Linked DNA regions of Oryctolagus cuniculus. The main gene of each other region encodes a partner of the protein of the gene in region 2 in a complex. Links are inferred from orthologs where the notes say so. Each region holds a gene or a part of one and is shown on either strand. Other genes may lie near its edges. The genes, in order: TMEM30A, ATP8B1 and TMEM30B.

Region 1 (5,325 bases), on a different chromosome or scaffold from region 2:
GGTTTTCCTATTAACTCCAGACCCAATTCAAAAATACTTCTCTACACATATAAAATCCAAGTTTAAAATACACATACACACACACACACACACACACACACATATATATATGGATTCTATGTGCAAAACTGTATTTCAGTGTTGACACAAAACTCCCAATTATTCCTGGTAGTCATTTCCTGTGGTTCCAAAGGCAATTCAATATGAATACGCAGCATTTTTTACACCACATTTAAGTTGGAAGTCATAGAATTTTAGAGTTTGATAGCATTTAGAGATTATCTATTCTGAATCTTTTGGTTCTTCAAGCAAAGGAGAAACTCTATATATATATACCAGACCCCTTAACCAGAATTGCTTCTAGTTCTCATATCTTAGGAAACATGCATTATTCTACTTATTTTACAGATGAGGAAACTCAGGCTCAAAAACATGCCTAAGATCATAGTCTACAGAGTGACAGAGCTAGAATTTTAATTCTAATGCCCTGACCCTTAAGTTCAGTGCCCTTTAACCACATAAAGCTGCAGTCTAATCCTTCAGGTAACTTGCAATCAGAATTGTATATGAGAACTATTTAAGAAATTTCCATTTCACCCACTACTTAATTTGAAGAATCTTATTTCAGAACCCAAAAATTTTAAACATAAATGTTTATTTTCACAGCAAATATTAAGAGCACTTGAATTCTGATAATTTAGTAAATACTAATATACAATTCTAAAGTACTGCTACTTCTTCCATCTTATGTTTAAATAAGATGATTTAAATTTCTAAAGTTAAATATTTTCTATTTTACTAAAATTGCAGTAAGCCTCCTAGTGCTGGGTGAAGGCTTAAAGCCAGATTCTGTCTCAATTCTGCAATAGTTTTAATAAGTCTACTGCAAAATCTAAACCTTTCTGATTCTATTTCTAATCTCATGATTAACTTAGATCATCATAATTTATTGCCAGACATTTTTTCTAAATTGCTTCTAGTTTTCATATCTTAGGGGATACATATTATTCTATTTATTTTATAGATGAGGAAACCAAGGCTCCGAAACACTAAGTTTTTCAAGAAACTAAGCTAGTTAGTAGCTGAGTTGGAATTTAAATACACCTCTGCCTTGGCCCCAGCTGGAGCCCACAGTCCTTGCATTATACCACTTTGCTCAAAGTCTAATATTATTTGATTGGGAAGACAAGAGGTACTATATTTGCAAGAGGTACTATTCAGGAGGTAAAAAGGATTGGAGCAGGAATTGTGCAACTGGTTCAGCCACCACTTGAGATACCCCCAACCCACATCAGAGTTTCCTGCTATTGCTCAACCTGGGAGGCAGCATCTGTAAGTACTTGGGTTCATTCCACGTATGTGGGAGACCTGGCTGGAGTTCCTGTGGCACCCGGGAATGAACAAGGTGATCAAAAATATCTACCGACATCTCTTCCCCTCTACCTGTTTCTCCCCTCTACCTGTTTCTCCTCAGTCTCTGTCACTCTGCCTCTCAAATCTTTTTTTAATGATAAATTAAAAATACACACTGAAAAAATATACTGTGACACTTTCCCTAATTATTAAGTTGAAAATTAATTTTTGGTAAAAGATTGTAAAACTAGCTATACCATAGGTACTATTCTTATTACTGTTCTTAGTACTATATACCCATACAATTAAAAAGTATATCAATTGGGTTTTGGAAATAACACAGTAAAGTTGAAAATAAGCACTTCTATTCCTAATTCAGTAGCAAAAATAAAATTACTCCTAAAGTAATCATTAAATCAAATACATAAAGAGATTTTTAAAAAGTGAGCATATATTTGTGTGAAAGAGAGAGCATAAGAAACCAAAAATGTTGCTTCTAGTTCCAGACTTCTCAAACAGATAAAAACACCCTGAGCAAGAAAAAAGGATTAACTGATGTTTAACACTGTACATTACACAGTATTTACACTCTATCAACCTATCTTTGTCATTGCAGGTGGATAAAGATTAGGAGATTGTGACTCTTTAAGGTCTGAAAGCTTCCACAACACAAGTTCTTCTGTGGTCTTACATAAGTAAAATAAGTAAAAATGTGCAGTGAAATTAATGAATATAATTTTTGGTAGACAGTTTACAATGCATTCCCTGTGTAAGTTTAAGATATACTGGGGTTGAGTGAGTGTGGTGGTGGTGGGGGAACCCTAGGGTGAATGTAGGGCATAATTACCAAGAAACTCAGCCTAAAAGTAAAAGCAGAACTGAAGTTGTACGTTTTTACTTGTATCATATCCTACAGCTAAAAAACATCTAATTAGTTCACAACGAAAGCCCTGAGCACACTGGTCATGTGTCCTAATACTGGTAATACATGACTTAACCACTTTACATAAGAAGCATTAGCACCTCTATGACTCGGTCCTTCACCCAGCAACAATCGCAGCATCCCGGCATGACCCTCGCACAGGTAATGACACACTGACCCTGTCAGTTCCCTCGGAATTACATCTAGAGGGAGCTTCTTTTTTCTCCACCTTTTCACGTCTCAGAACCACGTCCTGGATCCCCACCGAAACACACACACTGCCCAGGAAAGAAGCGTTCTTCAACCCGACCCACCTTCGGCATTAAACATTCATTCCGTCTCTGACCGTGGAAACCGTAGGTAGAAGTAGGACAAAAGTGCAAATTCAGGAAAGCCGCAGAACCAGAAAGAAGAAACTGAGCAGAGGAAAGGTGAGCGGGAGGGCGGGCCCGCCTGTCAACCCCAGCGAGCCGGGGGAGAGGGGCGCGGGCGCCGCAGCCCCGGGTCCCCAGCAAAGCTAGCTCCCACCGCCGCGCCCTCCCCTCACCTCGATCTCGCGGATGTTGTTGGAGGTGACGAAAATGCCGATGCCAATGGGGATGAAGATGAGGCCGATGATGAAGAAGGTAGGAAGCACCGTGCCAGCCGTCAGGATGGGCTGCCAAGCGGGCAGCCGTTGCTGTTTGAAGGCCGTGTTATCCGGTCTCCGGGTCTTAGCGGTGCCCCCAGGGGGACACGGGGGCCCACCGTCCACTTCATCCTTCGCGTTATAGTTCATCGCCATCGAGCCCCGCGGCGCGGATCCGCGACGCGCAGGTGGACAGTCCAGGGGACCCGCCTGCTGACCCTGACAGGAGACGCGCAGGCGCCGCCGCCACCGCCGCCGCCGCACAGGCGGAAGAGGCGGGACACTCTTCCGCAGACAGCCGCTGACCGGAAGCGAGGGACGGCTGAAGACACCAGAGGGAGGGAGAGAGGAAGGAGGGAGAAGAGTGAGGGACAAGGGGAGGGGAAAGGGGAGGACGATAGAAGGGGGAGGGAAAAGGCGGACGCACCCTGATCATCTGCCCTGTGACGACAAAGTGAGGGGCTCAACCCCCAGAGCGCGAGGTTACGTGGACGCATGCGCCGCCCGGGGGCGACGGGGTCTCGGCGCCTGCGCCATAGGTGCGTTTCCGCCCACTCGCCGACGCTTCTGTTTGCTCACACCTCCGGTTATCATGGCGACAACTACTGGGTTGGCGTGAGCCGCCGGCACCCCTGGAGCGGCTGACCAAGACTTCTTTCTGGTGGTTTCAGCGCGGGACAGGGTTTTCTTTTCACCTTAATGCCTTTTAGAAGGATTTTGAGCCTGGTGGAATTTGGCAGTATTTACTCCGGTTATATAAAACTTCTTTAGTTAAAATAAGTCCCCCCCCCCGGGGGGGGTACACGTGTAACTTTGAGATGCGTAAAGCATTACTCTTTTTTCTTCAAGAATGAATAACGCGCGATGACCTTGTGGCCTAGCGGGTTAAGCCGCCTGAGTTGGAGTCCCTGTTGCTGTGCTTTGGATCCAGCTCCCTGCAGATGCGCCTGAGAGGCAGCAGATGATGGCCCAGTACTTGGCCTTTGCCATCCATGTGGGAGACCCAGAGAGTGAGTGTCAGGCTCCTCTCTTCAGTCTGGCACAGAACCAAGTGTTGTGGGCATTTGAGAAGTAAACCAGCAGATGGAGTCAATTGCTCACCCCCACCCCCGTCTCTGTGTTGCTCTGACTTTCAAAAAAATTTTCTTGAGACTTACTTATTTGAAAGAGACAAATAGAAGGCGAGACAGATCTTCAAAATGGCCCCAACCACCAGGGTAGGTCCAGGCTGAAGCCAGGAGCTTCATCCAGGTCTCCCACATGGATACAGGGACCCAAGCACTTGGGCCATCTTCTGCTGCTTTCATAGGCTCATGTAGCAGGGAACTGGGTTGGAAGTGGAGCATCCTGAACTCCAACCTGACCCATATGGGATGCCAACGCTGCAAACATGGTTTTAACCCACTGCACCACAGCCCTCGTCCCATCTGCCTTTCAGATTACAATTGTTTGATGGCCAGCGCCATGGCTCACTAGGCTAATCCTCCACCTGCAGCGCTGGCACACCGGGTTCTAGTCCCGGTCAGGGCACCGGATTCTGTCCCGGTTGCCCCTCTTCCAGGCCAGCTCTCTGCTGTGGCCTGGGAGTGCAGTGAAGGGTGGCCCAGGTCCTTGGGCCCTCCACCCGCATGGGAGACCAGGAGGAAGCACCTGGCTCCTGGCTTCAGATCAGCGCCATGCGCCGGTCGTAGCGGCCATTTGCGGGGTGAACAAACGGAAGGAGGACCTTTCTCTCTGTCTCTCTCACTGTCTAACTCTGCCTGTCAAAAGTCAATGTGACTTGAATAATCATGTTATCTTACCTCCGTGATTTTTATTTTGCCTCCAAATTTGGTTCCAAGTTACTTTTCCCTTTTTTTGTGTGTTCCTTTGCATGTTAATTTAGTAGTGTTTTGTAGTTAACTATGGAAGTTTTATTTTTGTTTTACTGTTGATAAAGACCAGAACATACTCCTATAGTATTACAGTAAAATGGAATACTACCATGTAGATATTTTTAAACTGCCAAGTTTTTACTGATTCAAAGAAATACTCAAAAGTGACTAAACCGGGATGCCAAGCATAGGAACCGTACAAATAGCCAAACTAAAAAGTTATTAATGACTTTCACTTTTGACTGAAAATAGTGACTTTGTCTCTATGGAGAAATTTTTTTCTCTGTTGCTTTGCATTTTTCTGTACTTTCCAAAATTCATACAATAAGCTATATTATTTGTAAAATTTTTTAAAGTTACACACAGTCCACATTATACTGACATTTGTGAAATCCAGAGATTAAGTCACATCATCTGAACCACCCAAACTTTATTTATTTATTTATTATGGCTATGTCAGCAGTTAATGCCTTTTGGAGGCTAAATCAGGGAAAGGGAAATTAAAAATTGCTTGGTCCTCATAATTTCCAATTAAATTTTCAAAATGA
Region 2 (5,571 bases):
CTCTGCCCGATGGAAGCAGCTACCAAAGCTAGTTCCCACTGCTGAGACTTAAAAGTTGAAACACTTAAAAGTGCAATGCATTCGGTAGTATCAGGAAAAACATTTATCTGTTCATAAATGATCAGATGACTGAAGCTCTCTGTTTTCAAAGAATGGAAATGAAAAACAAAGACTGATGCACACACGGGAGTATATAGGCATGGGGTACTTCCAAAGTTCATGGAAAGTGCACATGACGAAGAAACTACACATGGAGTTCAAGATTCTTTGCACTAAGATAAACCCGCCTTTGCACTGCCCTTGTGTGTGTCTACACATGAGTATATGCTTTCTAGCGTCTTCATCACGCCAGTTCTTCAGGTTCACGAGATCTCAAAAGGTCTTACATTGGGTATTATTTTTATCTGCGCACAGAAGTGGGGATTCAGGAGTAACTTGTTTAACAGAGTGAAGAAGATAAGTTATCATCTTTTTTGTGTTATTAAAACCCTTCTGGCAGCAAATTAATTTCCATTTAATAAGTAACACAAGGCCTACAGGCATGAACACAAGTAATCCAACTGGGTGGTAACACTCAAACAGATCTGCAAAGTCACAAGTCACCCAAAAACACCACAAAGAAAAACTTCACGGGAGACCAATCTAGAAGTAAATGCCAAAACGAAGTGCTTGAGAAACTAACTGTAAAGGTGCCTCTCTCTGGAGAAACAGGACACGAATGGACCCAATAAAACTAGCTCTGGTACTTGAAAAGCAAGTCGCTGTCCATTCACAAGCACACAGCTTTCATCGGCAATGGTTGAAACTAGGGAGCCAAGGAAAGCAGGTAAATTAAAACCTGTCCAGTGCGGCTTACAACAAACTCAGGCAGAATTCAGACTCGGGAGGCAATGGAATATGAAAATTATACCAGACACCTGGACATCGCACTACTTTCAAAAATAGCCTAGGAAAGAAAATAGGAAATCAACACTCAAACACCTACTACAGAGAAGGGACACATAGACGTTCTTACTTAATTCTCTCAACAATCCAAAGAGGTTGAGGATAGCTTTCTGTCCCCCCAAACGAGCAAACTGAGACTTCCTCAGACATTTTAAAAATTCATCCAGGGTGGGGCAGGCGCTGTGGCGTAGTAGGTAAAGCTGCCGCCTGCTGTGCCAGCATCCAATATGGGCACAGGTTCAAGACTCAGCTGTGCCACTTCCCATCCAGCTCTCTGCTACGGCCTGGAACAGCAGTGGAAGATGGCCCAAGTGCTTGGGCCCCCACACTTACGTGGGAGACCTGGAAGAAGCTCCTGGCTTCAGATCGGCCCAGCTCTGGCTGTTGCCGCCATTTGGGAAGTGAACCAGCAGATAGAAGACCTCTCTCTCTCTGTCTCTGCCGCTCTGTAACTCTGCCTTTCAAATAAATGAATAAATCATACAAAAAAAAAAAAAAGAGAATTCATCTAGGGTGATTCAATCAGTAAGAAAAAGAACTGAAAATGGTGGGAATCACGCCCCAATGTTTCTCACTATTCCTGGCTTCAAGAGGAGGAGAAAGAGCAGGCAGAATGGCTGGAGGGATGGAAGAAAGCAAAGAAACCCCCCACACAGCGTGCAGGCCAGGTGGTGGGCTCCATCAGGGCTGACACCCACACTGAGAACCACGTCCCACATCCACCCAACCTGGCCTGAACATGCCTTGCCCTGGACCACTTCTTTCTGTAAAGCCACTTGCTTCTCCAAGTCATGATTTCAAAACCCTGATTTAAAACACACACCGCTCCCCCTGCCGCAGTCATGGGAAGGGCACACAGCGTGCGTCTTTTCCCATCCTCCAAACCCACACGGCAAGCTGGAAAGGAGCCGCAGGTGGATGCCCGCAGGTGGCATCTGGGAACCAGGTAGGAAGGAGCCGCCTGAGTCTGGTTTGTATCTTAATCACTGATACCAGGAATCCCTCAGAATTCCTGAAGCGTGGCCAAGTGCTTTGGGGAAAACGACAAATGAACGAGGCAGGAGAAAGCTTTCCTACTCAAAATTAAAACTAAAGGAGCTCCACCAGGGGAGAAAGCTGTCAGAGGCTGCAGGCAGGCGAGACTTCTCCCCGGAAAGCAAACACCTGGGACGCGGTCCTCATCTCCGCCCGGTCTGTGTGTTTAAGCAGCGCTTCATCAGGCCTGCCACAATGGGCACACACACAAGTACTCCCTAACCCATGCAGAATCAGAACCCTCCGCCTTGGGATTAGCTACTATGAGGACGCATCATTTTTAGTTTCCTTCCCCAAAGCGAGACCCTTGGTCAGGGACCTATGCTGTGTCCGGTGGTCTTCACGCATTTCACTAGCGTGGCCAGGCTCGCTTCGCCAGAGATTGGGGTGGGGGGTGGGGGGTGGTGAGCAGGGTGTAGAATTTCGAAGGCAAGGCAACCAGGAAGGTGGGAGCAAACGCTTGGACCCCGACTCGGCCGGCGAACGCAGGCCGAGGGAAACCACCGCTGGGGAGTGGGGGGCTCCCCAGGAGCATATGTGACTCGGTCCCCTGTCCTTTTGCGAGCCAGCCCCAGCCGCCGCGTGCTGCTCTCCGTCCTCCCCACTGACAGCGGTGCTGGCCCTGGGGCCCCCGCGGAGAAGCTGGGCGGACGCTCCAGGCTTTCCTTTCGCTTTAGGGAAGGAAGCAAAGTGGGGAAGTGGGGGTTAAAGCCTTCCTCCTCCCAGCAAATTGTCCTCAGCAGGCTCACGGCGAGGTGACAGCGACGGACATCAACCCGGGCAGGGAGGGAGACGGCCTGCGTTGGGAGCGACGGCCAGGAGCTACAGTCCAGCTTCCCCGCACGCATCCTGGGTTAAAGCGCCCGGGTGTCTGGCGGCGCCTGGCTCTGCGGTGGGGACGGCCGATCCCACCCCATCCCTACTCGCAGGTGCGGCCGTGGTCAGGTGCTGCGGCTGTAAGGACTTTTACCGGCACGTTGGCACAGGCTGCCAATGGGGGGCCCAGCAGAGCCCGGCCATAGAGGACTTCCAGAGGGGCAGTGGCCGCCGCAAGGAAGCCAGCAGCACTCCCGCCCCCCGACCAGGGGAACCGCCAGCCCAGCTTGGCCCCTCCGGGCTTAACCCCGGCCAAGCGTGTAGCAGACCAACCAAGCACGCAAACACCTCCCGCGAGGTCCCGCCTCCCGGCAGGTGATACTCCCACCGAACTCACAACAGCGCTGCCCCGGCCATCCGAGACTTCCCGACCCCGAAGCGGCGCAGGTTCCGGGCACCCCCACTCCAATCCCACCCGTGGGGGCTCCGCAGGCGGAGCGCGCGGATAGCTGCTGCCTCCGGATCCCCGGAGTCCACTGGTCCGGGGGCCACTGGACCCTGCCCGACTATCGGGGTGGAGGTTTCTGGGGGTCGCGACGCCGCGTCTCTCCTTACCTGGCGTTCGCTGGGCCCCGGCTGGGGCATCTGCCGGGTGCGCCCTGCTCCGAGCGCTCGCTGTGCACCTGGTCGTCTCCGCCGCCTCCCTGCCGCCGGGCCCCAGCGTTGGCCGCGGCGCTAGCGCCTCATGGCGCACGGGGGCTGGCCGGGGGCCCCGGGCAGCGTGTCCAGTTGGCGGCCGCTCCTCCGGCTCCCGCGGTACGCCAATGGCTCCCCGCCTTCCCCGCCTCGCGTCCGCGCGCCCTTCCTCTGCGGCCGCCCTTTTCCCTCCGCTCCGCGGGACCGGCCAAACTGGTTTCTCAGCTACAGGGAGGTGCCTCTCATCTCCCTCCGGCAGCCGCGGCCGCCAAGCGCGGCTGGGGCTGTGGATGGGGCAGGGGTTGGGGCTGGGGGCGGGCCCGGACGTCTGCCCTCCCCCGGTCCCTCCCCGGGGCGGAGAAGGGCTGGACGGCGAGCCCCAGGGCGGGCCCGCCTCTGTGGTCCGGGACCGGCCTCCCGCCCTCGGTGCGCCCCGGCGGCAGGTGCGCACCCCGCGCTGTGTCCCGAGCGCTGGTCTCTCCTCGCCCAGCCGGCGACCAGGCAGCTGCGGCGGCTCTGCCTCTTCACCCCGCCCCACCAGCCCGGCGTCACTTTCCCACCGCCCTCTGCCGGGTTGGCCGCAGCCTGGGGTCGGAGACAGCTCCTGGCCGGAAAGCTGGCGGGGTCGTGGCGCGCCCGGGACCTGAGCTCCCTTGGTAAGGAGAGCTGTGCGCTCTCGGTGCCAAGTCACGTTTCGGGACCAGTCACAGAAGGCGAGCCGTGGTTGCCCGCGCGGGGGGTAGGGAGAAAAACAGCACCCAGAGACTTCGAGAAACTTTTATCCTCTGCGGAGCCCAAACTCGTGCGTGTTTATAGCTTTAGGGAGAAAAGGACTTCCAGGGCCACATGTGAACTATGCGCTGCTGTTGAACATTTTGCGCGTTTCTGGCTCACCTGTTGTGGACAAGTCACAGGGATCGGAATGGAGCAAAGTCAAAGGCCTACATGTTTGCTAACAATGCAACAGGGGACATAGAACTCCTGGACAAGTGCCCGACGACCTGCAGATCAGAGCAGAGTCATCATGCAGGAGTCTGCGCAGGGGCTGAGGACGGATGATGCCCCATCTACAGGATCGGAGTTGTCTCGAGGAGAAATTCAAAGAGGGGCCTTGTGATTCGATCTTCAAGCCTATCAAAAACCCCACTGATACTGCCAATCCCAGGTACCCCGGATTTCCAATTCTTTAGGCACCTTCGTGGTGCAGACCAGGCATTTAATCTGCACGGGCCTCAGTTGCCTCCTCTGTAAACATGAGAGCGGACTAGATGGTCGCCAATGGTTCCCTCTAGCGTTATCTTCTGAACTAGTGACAGAGCAAAGCCTCTGAGACACGGAAACCTAGGGCCTGCTTAGTGACAACGTGGTCAGTAAACCAGCCTCCCGCAGGGCATTAAGAGGCTAGAGCCCTCGAATGCAAGGCTTGGGAGTTTGGACTTCTCTTGGTAGTTCTTGCAAACCACTGAACGTTTCTGAACACAGCAGTGACATGATCAAGGATGTGTTTTGGGGAAGGTATTAGGATGGTTGGAAGAAGAGAAGAGAGAAGACAGAGGTCTGGCCTGGGAGGCAAGTACCACAACAGAAGAGGTCGCCAGAAATGGTCGAGATTCAAAGGACATCTTGGAGAAAAGCGGTCAGAGCACAGAGGGACCAGAACCTGCAGCTCATTTGCAGAGAGAAGCATGCAGGACCAGCCAAGGTCCTGAGGGTGACAGCTTGATCGGGATTGCAGAGTCGAAAGGAGAAAAATCAGTTAGGAGGGCTCAGCCCCTATCAGGAGAAATGGTAGCAAACCTAGTGATCTAGAGAGGACTCCAGGGTCCAGGAGGGATCCCCCGCTTCTTGCAGATCCCAAAGGATCAATCTGTACAAGGAAATGCTGCATAGAAAAGATGGCACCAGGGCACACCGTACCCAGATCTGATGAATACTGTTCCAATGGCTGCATTCAACAACCCTATGCAGACACCAAAGTTTCTCTTCTTCTATTGCAGGCCACTTGGAAGGGGCAGAGTGGACACTGGGCACAATGAGTATTGATTCAAAGATGTATTCACTCAGTAAATATTCAGGGAG
Region 3 (5,340 bases), on a different chromosome or scaffold from region 2:
CGCGTTTTCCATGAACTGGTCGAAGACCCTCATACATGGCTGCTCCCAAGACATCTTAAGAAATGAGACCAACTCCCACCCCGACCGAGCAGGGCTGGGCTAGTGAGCTGCTCAGGGAGACAGTCATAACAAAAATCATTCTATGTACATGATGATGGTTTCGCAGCCTAAAACCATCATTCACAATTTCATGATAAAAGTGTATTGCGTTCCAGAGTTGGGAAGCCAGCATCCTGGAATGACGAAAGTACTTTTGGTGTACCCATAAGTAAGGGGACAGGATCCCTTGAATCACTACTGTCTCAGAAGTGCTGAGACGGAGACCTGAGATAAACACGTTGTCCAGTGGTAATTTTCAAAGAAGCTAGAGTAAAACAAAAAGAATGTAAAGTACTCAGTACAACTCAACATTTCTCCAACTACAAAAAAAAAAAAAAAAAAAAAAAACTTAGTTCAAGATCTTTCCCTGCCTTAAAGGAGTGAACACACACAGCAGTAATTAGAAAGTAGCTGTGACAGACACCAGGCACCAAGGAATTCTGACAAATGCCAAATAACAGCTTTCAGCTAATAAACTGGGAAGATGATATCATAGAGTTTTTTTTAAAGTTATTTTAACTTATTTTGTTGCCACAAAGAGGAAGTCTTAAAAATATTCTATTGCTTTTCAGAATAACTTCATACATATTGTATACACATTGATTTTAATCAACAAAAAATCAACTGAGTTTAATCAAGAGTTTTTAACATCATGTCAAAGACACCCCCCCAAAATAAAATCTTAAGAGATTCTAGCTTGCACATAAGATTTTCCTTAGTATTCATTCAAAGAGGATTACTAGACACAAATGTTTCATTTGAGGACATGCATTCTAAAGTTTCAGTTTTTTTTTTTTTTCCCAGATCCAAGGAAGAAGGTATTAATTAATGAAATTCTTTCTCTCCAGGCATTAAAAAAAAAAAAAAAAAGCAGATGAGAAAGAGGGGTGAGCCAGGAGTCAGAAGAAATACATGTGACTTTTGATACTTTCCCACTAGGATCCCTCCGTTACCTGATTCGAAGGTTCAGACAGTCCCCAGAGCCCCCACAGACTGGCCCAGCAGCGTCAAGTTTCCGCACAGTACCTGCAAAGTTTAACTTCTGCACTCAACTATCCAACGAATTTCCTTGCCCTGCAACTCTGAATCCCAGCTACTTCTAGAGAGCGCATTCTTCCCCATTCACTCCAGAAACCATGGGGCAGGGGCCTCTCTCTAGTCAAGGCATTGCTAAACCTAATCTGCAGTATTATGACCGTCACTGTCCTGAAAAAACCAAACTCAGGAGACTGCTTCAGGCCCTAGGCAGGCAGGGACTGGATTCCCAGTCTGAGGGAGCAGAGGCCTCCATGGGGAGCCTGCTAATAATACTGCTCCAGGGTCTCCCCGCGCAGCCTGGCAGGGTCAGAGTCTCGGCCGCTGCTGGTGCCTCCCCATCTACTTAACATTTCTAGCAAGTACTAGGGGATTTCAAAAGCGTTCGTGGAGAACGGAATTAAAAGGTAAGCTTCCTTTAGTGCAAAACATCGTTTGAAATCCATGAGCGCTTGGAAGACCGCTCTGGGCATGGACTTCAAACTCCTTGTGCACCAAAACAACCTTATCTTTTCATGTCATTTTTCCCACGGACTCTTCTGAGTACCCTGGAGTATCCCCCTCTCCGTGTCTCTACAGGGGCTGCGTGGACCTGGCCTACCCCAACCCCCACACCCACCACGACACCCTTCCCAAAGCTCCCAGAGCGCTCTCCGCCTGATCCACCACGAGCTACTTAAACACGGCCAGGTCTCTCAGTCCCTCCACGCGGGAGGCGGTCGGATGCGAGACCCTACTGTCCCTGGAACTCTTCAAGCCTGCCAACACGTCAGCTGGAGAGGCGGCGATGGAGGTGGGGAAGTGGCAAGGCTGTGTCTCCGCTCCGCAGGTGCACCCAGCACCCCCCCCCCACGAGGCACAGGGGGTCCTCCCCGTGCCCTCCCACGCCGTCCTCGACGCCCCAGGAGGCAGGGGAAGGCGGAGGGCGTCCCTGGGGCCAGCCATCACTCGTCGTCGTCGTCGTCGTCCGTCTGGTCCTGGTAGCGAATGTACACGACCAGCATGGCGAAGCCCACGAGGATGCAGAGGGCGCCGACCACAAGGTAGGCGATGCCCAGGAAGGGGTTCTTGCCGCCCATCCACGAGATGTTGCTGAAGATGAGCAGCTTGTGGCCGCCGAAGGCGCGCACCGGGTAGTTGTAGGAGATGTTGACGCGGTAAGCGCCGCGGGGCAGCCCCGCCGAGTAGTCGCCCTGGCGGATGCGCGCGTACAGCTTGCGGAAGGTGGGCAGCGCCGCCGTGCGCATCCACACCACGAAGTCCTGGTTGACGAAGCCCGTGTTGTTGGGGTCGGCGCTCAGCTCGTAGACCGGCCGGGGCCAGTTGGGCGGCGGCGCCGTGCCGCGGAAGGCCAGCGCCAGGCTGCCGTTCACCAGCGGCGGGTTGCGGAACTTGACGTGGTAGTCGGTCCACCAGGCGATGGCGGCGCGGTCCAGCGGCACCTCGACGTAGGGCCCGGCCGGCTGGTGCTGGTGCCACAGCGAGAAGGTGTCGTTGAAGAGGCTGTTGGCGATGGCGCCGCAGGGCGCGATGGGCAGCCCGGTGGCGCTGCGCTGGTACGGGGCGCACTCGTTGGCCGGCTGGCGCAGCGCGCTCGGCAGCCCGCTCAGCTGCGCGTCGTCGCGGGACACGCCGTAGCGCCGGTTGTTCTGGTAGAAGCTGGACAGCTCGTAGTAGAGGTACACGGGCCCCGGGAAGAGCTCGTGCAGCGAGAAGTACCAGGCGCACGAGCAGGGCGGCGGCGGCGCGCGGCCCTGGCCCTCGGCGGCGCACACGGAGCAGTTGCTCGAGCCCGCGTCGCCCGTGTAGTCATGCTCGAGCTCCACGATGCCGTTGGAGGAGTAGTAGAGGCCCAGGCCCAGGCCGATGAAGGCCAGGCCGGCGCAGAAGAAGAGCGGCAGCGTGATGCTGGCCGACAGCAGCGGCTGCCACGCGGGGAGGCGCTGCTGCGTGAACGCCGTGTTGTCCGGCTGGTGGGCGCCGCGGGCCGTGGCGCTCCACGTCATGGCGGACGGTCCCCCTCCGCACCCCGCCCCGCCCCGGGGGTCGCCGTCCCCGAGCCCTCGGGCCCCCGCCTCCTGCACAGGTGCGTCGGAGCCCCGGGCTCTGCGGCCGGCTCCGGGACGCCTGAGTTCCGCCTCCGCCCAGGTGCGCGGCGCCGGCTCCGCCCCTCGCGGGAGCCCGGGCCGCGCCCCGCCTCTTCCGAGGGGAGCCGGGCAGGTGTCGCGGCCTCACCTGGCGGCGGGCGCGGGCTCGGCTGACCCGCGCGGTCCCGGCCGCTCCTGGCGCCAGCTCCTCCCCCTCCAGGTGAGTGGCGGCTCAGGCTGTCTCCGAGTGGCTCACACCTTGCTCAGGTCCCCTCCGCCCCCTAACCCTTCCGCCTTCCCAGAGACTCGAGGGCCCGGATCCAGCCGCACCTGCAGCTCCGGCGCTGCAGCCTACCAGCGGGAAGCGTCCCCGGGAGCGTGCCCCGTGGGTCCCGGGGGCTTGAAGGGTTCGCGCGGTTACTGCATTCTCTGTCGCTTCGGACGCAGGTGAGTTGAGACCTGCTTGTCTTTGTAGATTCACTGCTGGATTTCGTTTCAGTCCGCTTTCACTGAAATGCACAGAAAATGACACCATTTCGAATTCAACACCTGCGTCCGAACTCCTGGTGTATTTATTTTTAATAATGGAAAATGGTTTTCTGGGCGGATGCCCCAGTCTTACAGCTAAGAAAGGTGAAAAGTTCTCTAAAAATAAAATGACCCTTAGAGGGAGAAGGAGAGAGGGAGGGGGAGGGAGAATAAAAAACTGGAGAGACCCACAGCATTTAAATGTCTCATTAGCTGGTAGAGACGCCAGGCAGGGAAAAAATGGGGTGAACTACAGGGGATTTTTTTTCTTTTCTTTTTTTTTTTTTTCAGGGTCTTTGCCTTGCTGGAGAAAGGCCCAATCCAGGGTTCCTGGAAACTGTTGCTGTCTGTAAGGGAATTTGTTTGGAATAGCGGACCACAAAGGCTTATAAAGAACTCAAATTAGTCTGCCCGTTGAGGGAGATGCTGGCTTTTGTTCTAGCTTTGAGGTTATCTCATGAAGTTCGGAAATAAACAGAATTGAAAGATAAGTTTATTTTAGTAAAAGAAAATTTTGAAACCCATGCATAGCTTTTTCGTAGTCTGCGTTTTCCATCAACTTTTTAAAAAGATTTATTTATTTATTTGAGAGGAAGAATTTACAGTGAGAGAGGGAGAGATAGAGAAAGAGAGGTCTTCCATCTGCTGGTTCACTCCCCAGATGGCCCAAACAGATGGGTCTGGGCCAGGCCGAAGCCAGGAGTTTCATCCGGGTCTCTCACACTGGTTCAGGAGCCTAAACACTTGGGCCATCTTCTGCTGCTTTTCCCAGGCACATTAACAGGAAGCTGGATCAGAAGAGGAGCAGCTGGGACATGAACCAGAGCCCACATGGGATGCCCGTGTTGCAGGTGGTGGCTTAACCTGCTATGTCATAACATTGGCTCTCAAAATAAACTTTTATTTCTATTTTCTACAAATGCCTTGAAGTGCTCTTATACACGAGAGTGTACCTTGGGGACCATTTCATTTGTGTTAAATCCTCAGTAGGTATTGAGGTGTTCTTGCCTCTTCCAGCTCATAAAATGCAAGTGATTTAAATGTCTTCTCTGTTACACTTCAGCATCTAGCGTAAGGTACCACATGCATTGCCTTCAAAACCCATGGAGGGGCCGGCGCCATGGCTCACTTGGTTAATCCTCCACCTGTGGCGCTGGCATCCCCTATGGGCACCGGGTTCTGGTCCCAGTTGCTCCTCTTCCAGTCCAGCTCTCTGCTGTGGCCCCGGGAGGGCAGTGGAGGATGGCACAAGTGCTTGGACCCTGCACCCGCATGGGAGACCGGTAGGAAGTACCCGGCTCCTGGCTTCAGGTTGGCGCAGTGCCGGCTATGGCAGCCATTTGGGGGGTGAACCAACGGAAGGAAGACCTTTCTCTCTGTCTCTGTCTCTCACTGTCTAACTCTGCCTGTCAAATAAAAAAAATTTAAAAAATTAAAAAAATGGAAACTTGGAAAGTTAGAATGCTTTTTAAGCAACAGAAATCATTATTATTATTATTATTATTATTATTATTATTATTTTAGCATCTTCCAAGTGTTCAGCCCTGTGCTAAGCAGTGTAGAAGCCAGAAGAGTGTTAGACTGAAAAAGA

What was found.
Region 1: the proteins of ATP8B1 (region 2) and TMEM30A are in contact, whole or in part, in a cryo-EM structure (PDB 7VGI), measured with the Homo sapiens proteins. The link is inferred for Oryctolagus cuniculus from reciprocal best matches to the Homo sapiens genes ATP8B1 and TMEM30A. Residues at the interface, in NP_001361314.1 of Homo sapiens: Thr138, His359, Trp362, Glu363, Val366, Ser369, Ser370, Trp371, Tyr372, Leu373, Tyr374, Asp375, Gly376, Arg384, Ile388, Phe418, Asn420, Trp421, Asp422, Leu423, Tyr426, Lys430, Asp431, Thr432, Pro433, His939, Trp942, Arg946, Tyr968, Phe971; in NP_060717.1 of Homo sapiens: Lys24, Thr25, Arg26, Arg27, Pro28, Asn30, Phe33, Lys34, Gln35, Gln36, Arg37, Leu38, Pro39, Ala40, Trp41, Gln42, Pro43, Ile44, Leu45, Thr46, Ala47, Val50, Phe54, Ile57, Phe61, Ile64, Ile68, Ile75, Phe119, Tyr121.
Region 3: the proteins of ATP8B1 (region 2) and TMEM30B are in contact, whole or in part, in a cryo-EM structure (PDB 7VGH), measured with the Homo sapiens proteins. The link is inferred for Oryctolagus cuniculus from reciprocal best matches to the Homo sapiens genes ATP8B1 and TMEM30B. Residues at the interface, in NP_001361314.1 of Homo sapiens: Trp362, Val366, Ser369, Ser370, Trp371, Tyr372, Leu373, Tyr374, Asp375, Gly376, Phe418, Trp421, Asp422, Leu423, Tyr426, Asp431, Pro433, His939, Trp942, Arg946, Tyr968, Phe971, Asn972, Gly973, Ser975, Ala976, Gln977, Leu1003, Gln1005, Phe1049; in NP_001017970.1 of Homo sapiens: Gly9, Ala10, His11, Gln12, Pro13, Asn15, Phe18, Thr19, Gln20, Gln21, Arg22, Leu23, Pro24, Ala25, Trp26, Gln27, Pro28, Leu30, Ser31, Ala32, Ala35, Leu38, Phe39, Phe46, Leu49, Leu53, Tyr109, Tyr111, Asn116, Phe117.

What each region holds. Positions count from the first base shown.
Region 1 is NC_091436.1:97,193,354-97,198,678, reverse strand, and holds the start of TMEM30A (cell cycle control protein 50A), read right to left. Parts: upstream 3,430-5,325; 5' UTR 3,060-3,429; coding exon 2,823-3,059; intron 2,707-2,822; exon of another isoform or gene 2,571-2,706; intron 1-2,570. UniProt on the Homo sapiens protein: Accessory component of a P4-ATPase flippase complex which catalyzes the hydrolysis of ATP coupled to the transport of aminophospholipids from the outer to the inner leaflet of various membranes and ensures the maintenance of asymmetric distribution of phospholipids.
Region 2 is NC_091441.1:20,523,737-20,529,307, reverse strand, and holds the start of ATP8B1 (phospholipid-transporting ATPase IC), read right to left. Parts: upstream 3,708-5,571; 5' UTR 3,412-3,707; intron 1-3,411. UniProt on the Homo sapiens protein: Catalytic component of a P4-ATPase flippase complex which catalyzes the hydrolysis of ATP coupled to the transport of phospholipids, in particular phosphatidylcholines (PC), from the outer to the inner leaflet of the plasma membrane.
Region 3 is NC_091451.1:9,305,356-9,310,695, reverse strand, and holds TMEM30B (cell cycle control protein 50B), read right to left. Parts: upstream 3,297-5,340; 5' UTR 3,141-3,296; coding exon 2,079-3,140; 3' UTR 688-2,078; downstream 1-687. UniProt on the Homo sapiens protein: Accessory component of a P4-ATPase flippase complex which catalyzes the hydrolysis of ATP coupled to the transport of aminophospholipids from the outer to the inner leaflet of various membranes and ensures the maintenance of asymmetric distribution of phospholipids.